2 linked regions of the Sus scrofa genome follow. The protein of the gene in region 2 binds, or shares a complex with, the protein of the main gene of each other region. Links are inferred from orthologs where the notes say so. Each region holds a gene or a part of one and is shown on either strand. Other genes may lie near its edges.

Region 1 (3,442 bases), on a different chromosome or scaffold from region 2:
CAACCAGAAACAAAAGCTTCCACTGGAACACTTGACAGAATACGGCTGAACTTAACTAAACCTTCAAGGGGAATAAGATGAGGGTCAAACAAAACCAATGAATGGAGAAGCCCAAGACTAGTCTCAGTATAAACACAGGGATAATAGCATCTCAGCAGGGATATTTTCTGATCCTTCCCACCAGACACCTGCCATCATTTTCCAGCCCTTTCCCTTCTGAAGCATCTGCCAAACCAAATGGCCTTCCTCTGTCCTTTTGCAGGCGTAAGCCAACCCCAAAGTACCCCTTGGATATGATGCAAAGCCAAGAGGAAAGTTTTTAAGTCCCATTCCAGGGTAGAAAGTGCACATACCAAACCAGCATATTGCTTATGTGGTGCAAATGTACACTGTGATACCCATAATCAAATCAGAGCTACCAGGTGTAACCTGTTAGGTGGCCCTGTAGCTATGTCAAGGTTCCTCATTTACCATACTAAAAACATCAATGTGGCAGAATGCATTTTTGAGCTCCAGATTTTAAAAGCCTCTAAAGGAGGCTATTAAAAATGATGCAAAACTATATCTCATAAACCTACACATTAAGGAGGAACACCGAAGGGCTCTTTCTGGGACTTTTTCATGGGGGCACAGAGATGAACAGAAAAAATGTTAGAATGTCAAAGTATGTGACAGGTGAGGGGGAGGCAGAGGCGAGAAAAGGGTATACTAGCCATAAGGCCAACACATTTGTGTTCAAAGATAAGTCTGGGCAAAGGAAAAAAAAAAAAAAATCAAAAACCAAAACCCACCTCAAACAATACAACAAAACAAAACCCAAGTCAGAGGAAAAAAGTGTTTCATACAACACAGTATCAAAAAGTAAAAGGAACACACTAAATGCACAAACTTGTGGCAAGTCAGTCCACAGCCTATTATGATAGGTCCTTCCAGCATCAATCAGGTTTCTTCCCATCTGTTATCTCAAGGTTATTTACAGATGTGTGACTAGAACAAGAGTCTCACAGGAGGGCGAGCAGGCTTCAATCATTGGTTTCAGGATCTGTCTGTGCCATGTAGGCATCCAACTCAGCATCCAAGTGTCCTTTAGTTTTCGACATGTATGCATCCAATTGGTTGTCCAGCTGCTCCTTGGTCAGTACAGGGCGAGCAAGGGCACCTCTCCCTCGTCCACGTCCACGGCCTCGGCCTCCAAAGCCCCCTCTTCCCCGGCCTATCATACCCCGACCTGGCCCAAGGGAAAAAGAAGAAATAGTTACAAGTAGGTTTAATAGGTGCTATGGTAAATGCCCCTCAGAGCAGTGGGGCCTAGCTGAGAGAGACTGAAGGGCAGGGCAAAGAGGAGAAATCTGGAAAAACAGGAAACACACTGGGTAGAAAGCAACACATGGAAAGCACACATAATGAATCCCTTATTACATGCTCCTCTCTAAATGCTATTTAAAAATTTTTATTCTATCAACAGAGGGAAAATATTTAACTGAAAGTTAAAATTGACTCAATCTCTTCTAAAATAGAAGCTAAAACTTGAGACTCACTGTAAGTTTATAATTAAAATACAAACACACTATAGATAACCCCATGTAGTAAAACAGGGAGGAAGTAACAAGGGCACAGAAAAATGAGTGTAAAGTTTTTAATTAAACTTTATTGGACATCCTTCTGAAAAATTAGCTTGTCTCTCCTCAAACTTATCAAACCTAATGAGCTGATCCCATGTCAGGAGACTGAGGAGTTATTCTGACATGGGAACAATGAAGGGAGATTAGGGAAAAACATTCTGAGTAGTGCCAGCCATTTCTATCTGCAATTCTATCCACATTTTAACAAATATGGTTATCTGAGAGGTGGTTTCAATTCACTTAACAAAACACACCCAGCTTTCTGAAAAGCTACTTTAGAGCCTCCCCCACTCCCATTCCTGTGATGTCTCTCTCAGAAACCAAGTCAAGATAATTTGGAAACATGCTATTTCATCCTGAAACCCAAACTAGTTTGCCCTTCACTCAATAAGCCAAGCAACATATAATGCGAGAGAAGAAAACAAGCCCTCAGTTATCAAATTTCCTTTCCCAGTAGTTATTATCCCCTGGCAGCTTCAAGGTCATCAATTATGGAAGACCCACCACACACTTTAAAAAAGATCAAAGCAAATATACACAGGGGCAACAAGGATGTATTTTTTTTCCTGAACAGGTGTTGTTGGGAGTTTTCCACAAAACTTTAAGCCAGAAAATTCCCAGGAGATTTGGTATTAACAGCAACACCATAAAATCTCTTTTCCAATCTGGGCCATGAAGTCACGTGACAGGTATCACTAAGTCTCACGATGAGATTATCAACAAGAGTCAGTTAGTTAACTGACACAATACCATCTTGCTTTTCTAATCTTGATCAAAAAAAAAAAAAAAAAGTCATCTCTGGTTTCACACAGACACCAACTTTACCTTAAATTTACTTGGTTTCAGAGTCAATACCTAGCACCAAGCCTCACCATCCTCTTTAACTGATTCGTTTCTGTACATCTCTCTCTTCTCTAAATCTTAGGCCCAAAAGTGGGGTTACGAGCTGTGGGATGGGGTGTGTGGTGGTGGGGCCAGGGACAGAAAAAGATGAAACCCCATACTGACAATTTTATCACTTTAATGATACAATTTAAATTTGCAAGAGCCTGAAAGACTGACTATAACCTGGCTCTGTAACACATACCTGACTGTTCTTGGAAAACCCATGACAGACTTTCACACTACCAGCATGTGAATTTAGAAAATAAGCCAGTTTCATAAAACAAACAAGACAAACAAATAAGCCTGCCTATGACTTGAAGCTGTGCAGAAAGGTGGCTCTGAGTTTTGAAGGGAGAGAAAATAAGGGGGTGCTATTCTCTGAAGTTGGTAGCTGACTAACCTCTACCACCGATTCCGCCACGACCCATAGCTCCACGCCCTAGGCCCCCTCTCCCAGGACCTCCACGACCTCGAACACCACCTCTTCTTAAGCCCATTCGGGGAGCTACGGCTCGTCCACCTCGGAGCAGGTTTTGACCTTGGAGAGGAGGCATACAATGTATATGCAGGTAAATCCAAGAGAGACAAAGTAGATTCTAACCAAAGGAAGGCAGTGAGGGTTAAATGAGTTAATTCGATTAATTTTTAGGTTGGGTGGGGCAAGCTGCACACTGAGTGTCAACAGATTAAGCTGCTCTTTATTCAATCAATTCAACAAGTCTGACCACAATCCATTTTTGGAAGCTGGGAGTTAGATCAATTAGTAAGTACATACATTTAATAAATACCTATTGAATAATCAGGTGCCTAGCATTATGGTAGATTTAAAAATAAATGAAATGGTTCCTGCTCTTAATACATTTTTGTAGGAGACAAAAACTATACAGGGAACAGTGTAACAGTGCCCAAAAAAGTAACATATAGCTAAATGCTAT
Region 2 (3,826 bases):
CAAACTATAAATAGTTTGGTTTTATAGCATTCTCTACACTAAAGTTTATGTTGTCATGTTTAGTGACCTTGAGGCACTTGAGGAAGAAGTTTACCACTTAATATATTCTTCCCTTATTTTTAGAATCTACCAAAAATGAGACCATCACAAAATTTCTACAGCTGTGTATATTTCCTCGATGTATTTTTTCAGCAATTGATGCTGTTTACTGTGCTCGTTTTGTTGAATTGGTACATCAACAGAAAACTCCAAATTTTTCCACACTTCTTTGCTATGATCGAGTAAGTTCTTTTTTTTGCAACCTTTAAAAACAAAGTCTCACACAAAGATAGCTAAAGATTTTAGTCTATAGAGGTATTATTGTGTGTGTGGTTAAAAGCATGAACTCGAGAGCCAAGTGCCTGAACTTGAATCCTAACTCTGCTACTTTCTAGCTATATGATCTTTGGCAAGTTTTTTTTAACCTCTCTGTGCCTCAGTTTTCTATCTGTAAAATGGGATAATAGTATCTGCTTCATAAGATTGTTGTGAGGATTACGTGAGTCAATACACATAAAAGCACTTTGAATAGTGCCTGATACATAATAAGCACCCCTAGTTAATCTGTTAACTCAGCATTCTGGTTTATATGTTTGTCATAATAGGCAGAACTCTTTTCCATTCTTAACTTTCACCCCCTCAAAAAAACAACGAAAAACCCTTAACACTTTTGCACATATATAAAAGCAGGGATGCTTTTCAAGATGGCCACATTGACAGATTTTTATATCTGGCTTTTTTTCTTAATAATAAATTACTGCATTTGTGGTTTAAAAGTGTCATATATGTTACAGCCTGTCAGCTGCCTATTTCTAGTTTCTGTCATCTTCGCCTCTGCTTACTATCACCTTAACCCCAGTAATATTTATGGCTAAGTCTTTCTTAAAAGAAGTTATAATGTAATAATCATGATAGTTTTTTCTTCTGTCATTGTAGATGAGCTTTCTTTTTTTTTATAAAAGTGCTTTTTTTTTGTTATTGTTGCTTTATGAATGGACTATTTCCTCACAAAAGCCAAACATTTTAAAGGTCTCTGGAATTGTGAATATAAAAGGGGAAGATGTGCTTTGACTAAACTTACCTGTTTATTATGATTTGCTGTTGCATAATCTTTTAATATTTTGAACTAATTTTGACCTTGATTTGTTTTTATTTTTCACACATTGTTTTCTGTAGGTTTTCTCTGATATAATTTACACAGTTGCAAGCTGTACTGAAAATGAAGCTAGTCGATATGGGAGATTCCTATGCTGCATGTTAGAGACTGTGACCAGGTGGCACAGTGATAGAGCCACATATGAAAAGGTATGACTAACAAATAGTCTTATATTTTACCCATCTATACAATGACCACTTCCGGTAATCTTTGGGTTGTTCAGTTTTAAAAGGGAAGCTGAGTTTAAGGCTCAATTATAAAACAGTGTTTAAAATTTAAGCATAATTCATTCGTTATTTTTAAAATGCTCTATTTTTTTTAAAATCCTGTCTCAAACTGACATTCCAAATTAATACCATCGAGTAAGCTGAATATTTCTGTGAAAACTACCTATCATTCAAATATACATGTTTTCACATGGAATCATTAATGTAGTCTACTTAGGTTTCAGCTTTTGCTATTTTGGAGGACAGAATTTTTCTTTAAAAGTGACAGACTTTTTTTTTTCCCCCTGTAGGAATGTGGGAATTATCCAGGATTTCTTACTATATTACGGGCAACTGGATTTGATGGTGGAAATAAAGCTGATCAGTTAGATTATGAAAATTTTCGACATGTTGTACATAAATGGCATTACAAACTAACCAAGGTAAGAAAAAAATTGTATTTCTTAAAGGTGTTTTTTTCTCTTCATAATTATCCTTTTATAGTAACAGATCTTAAAATGTTTGTTGTAGGCATCGGTACATTGCCTTGAAACAGGCGAATATACTCACATCAGGAATATCTTGATTGTGCTAACAAAAATACTTCCTTGGTACCCAAAAGTTTTGAATCTTGGTCAGGCTTTGGAAAGAAGAGTGCATAAAATCTGCCAAGAGGAAAAAGAGAAGAGGCCAGATCTATATGCATTGGCTATGGGGTAACACAAATTATACTTTAATGTGATTTATGAGACTAGATTACAGAAGGATTCTGAAGACTTTAAAATGTTTTACAGTGTTGAAGTTTATCTTCTGCTTTACTTCAGGAGATTATGGGAGATTATGCGATCATGTTCCCACAGGCTGGTGAGAGTTGTCACTTCTGATTATCAGCTTCCGGTCTATACTGGATGATAGTTACAAAAGTCATATAATATGTCTAGATTTGGAGGAAATGTAATTTTATCATCAGTTAGCAGATCTTCAGTAGTGAAAAAAAGGCACTTTAGTTGAAGGATTAGTATACATTGAAATTTTCGTTTTTAAGAAATGATCTAGGGCTCTTAGTAAAGACCTTCAGGAATTTTCTGAAAATTAATACTTTTCATTCTCTGAAACCAAGTAGCAGAGTGAATAACTTGCTAATTTTATTCTTTTAAACCCCATGTTTGTGCTTTTTGATTTGTATTTGTATATTTAAACACTTTGTGCGACTTTCAGCTACTCTGGGCAGTTGAAAAGTAGAAAGTCATACATGATACCTGAAAATGAGTTTCATCACAAAGACCCCCCTCCGAGGAATGCAGTTGCCAGTGTACAAAATGGGCCTGGTGGTGGGCCTTCTTCTTCATCGATAGGAAGTGCATCTAAATCAGACGAAAGCAGTACTGAGGAGACTGGTATGCTTATTTGTAGAAATTTATAAATAATACATTTTATTTCAAAAGTGTTTAAAATATTCTGTATCACATGACAAGTAAAATGCTTGATTAGTAATCCTTTTTAATTCCCTAAGTAGGAGTATATAACTTAAGACATAATCAGCCTTTTCTTGCTTTTGTCTCTAATGATTTTGCTATAAAATTGTAGTTTATTTATATCTAGGGGCTTGTCAAATAAAACCTTACCTTTATTTCAGATAAATCAAGGGAGAGATCTCAGTGTGGTGTGAAAGCTGTTAATAAAGCTTCTAATGCCACACCGAAAGGGAATTCAAGCAATGGAAATAGTGGCTCTAACAGGTAGGAACACTGTGCTGTATGTCAAAATCCTGATTTCTAATGTGATTAGCCTCAGTAGACGTGAATGAAAGAGTGATAGTTGACTACTATGAAAGTCATTTATTTTGGACTTAGAAATTTTGTATATACCACTATTTTGATAATGTGTTTGCCATCCTCATGTTTTTTATAATACTGAGGCTGACTTTATTTCCTTTGTTGGAATATGCAGGGGAGTGAAGTTAAAATTTTTTTTAGTACTGAGTGTTTGCTGTGGAAAGTCTGTGTAAGGATAATTAATATAAGAAAAGCCTATACTGAGTTAGACCAGTGATCCATCCAGCCAAGTAATCCAGTTCCTGATAGTAACACCCTTAGTTGGCTTAAGGGAAAGTTTTTGGTTGTTACTTTGTAATCGAAAGGTTATGAACATATACAAAAAGGTCTGATATCACTCTAATCACTCTTCATAATCTACTCTTTGTGAATGTGGTTATTATTTACTGGATAAGGAAGTGCTTCCTTTTTACTGGTCTTAAAGTTGTCCTTTAGTTTTCAAAGGGCTCCTCTTAGTTCTGGAATTTTGAAGCCAGTAAGAAACTGTTTATGATTTATAATATATTGAATATATTTTATGACCATTTGTCTTAAAATCTGATGTTTTTATTCTTAAGCAGCAAAACTGTTAAAGAAAATGACAAAGAAAA

Evidence for each region.
Region 1: THOC2 (region 2) and CHTOP share a complex: the UniProt entries of both Homo sapiens proteins name them as parts of the transcription/export (TREX) complex. The link is inferred for Sus scrofa from reciprocal best matches to the Homo sapiens genes THOC2 and CHTOP.

The regions. Positions count from the first base shown.
Region 1 is NC_010446.5:95,996,062-95,999,503, forward strand, and holds the end of CHTOP (chromatin target of PRMT1 protein), read right to left. Parts: intron 3,046-3,442; coding exon 2,908-3,045; intron 1,229-2,907; coding exon 1,023-1,228; 3' UTR 823-1,022; downstream 1-822. UniProt on the Homo sapiens protein: Plays an important role in the ligand-dependent activation of estrogen receptor target genes. May play a role in the silencing of fetal globin genes.
Region 2 is NC_010461.5:101,190,436-101,194,261, reverse strand, and holds part of THOC2 (THO complex subunit 2), read left to right. Parts: intron 1-123; coding exon 124-281; intron 282-1,215; coding exon 1,216-1,344; intron 1,345-1,712; coding exon 1,713-1,844; intron 1,845-1,932; coding exon 1,933-2,117; intron 2,118-2,619; coding exon 2,620-2,798; intron 2,799-3,037; coding exon 3,038-3,140; intron 3,141-3,793; coding exon 3,794-3,826. UniProt on the Homo sapiens protein: Component of the THO subcomplex of the TREX complex which is thought to couple mRNA transcription, processing and nuclear export, and which specifically associates with spliced mRNA and not with unspliced pre-mRNA.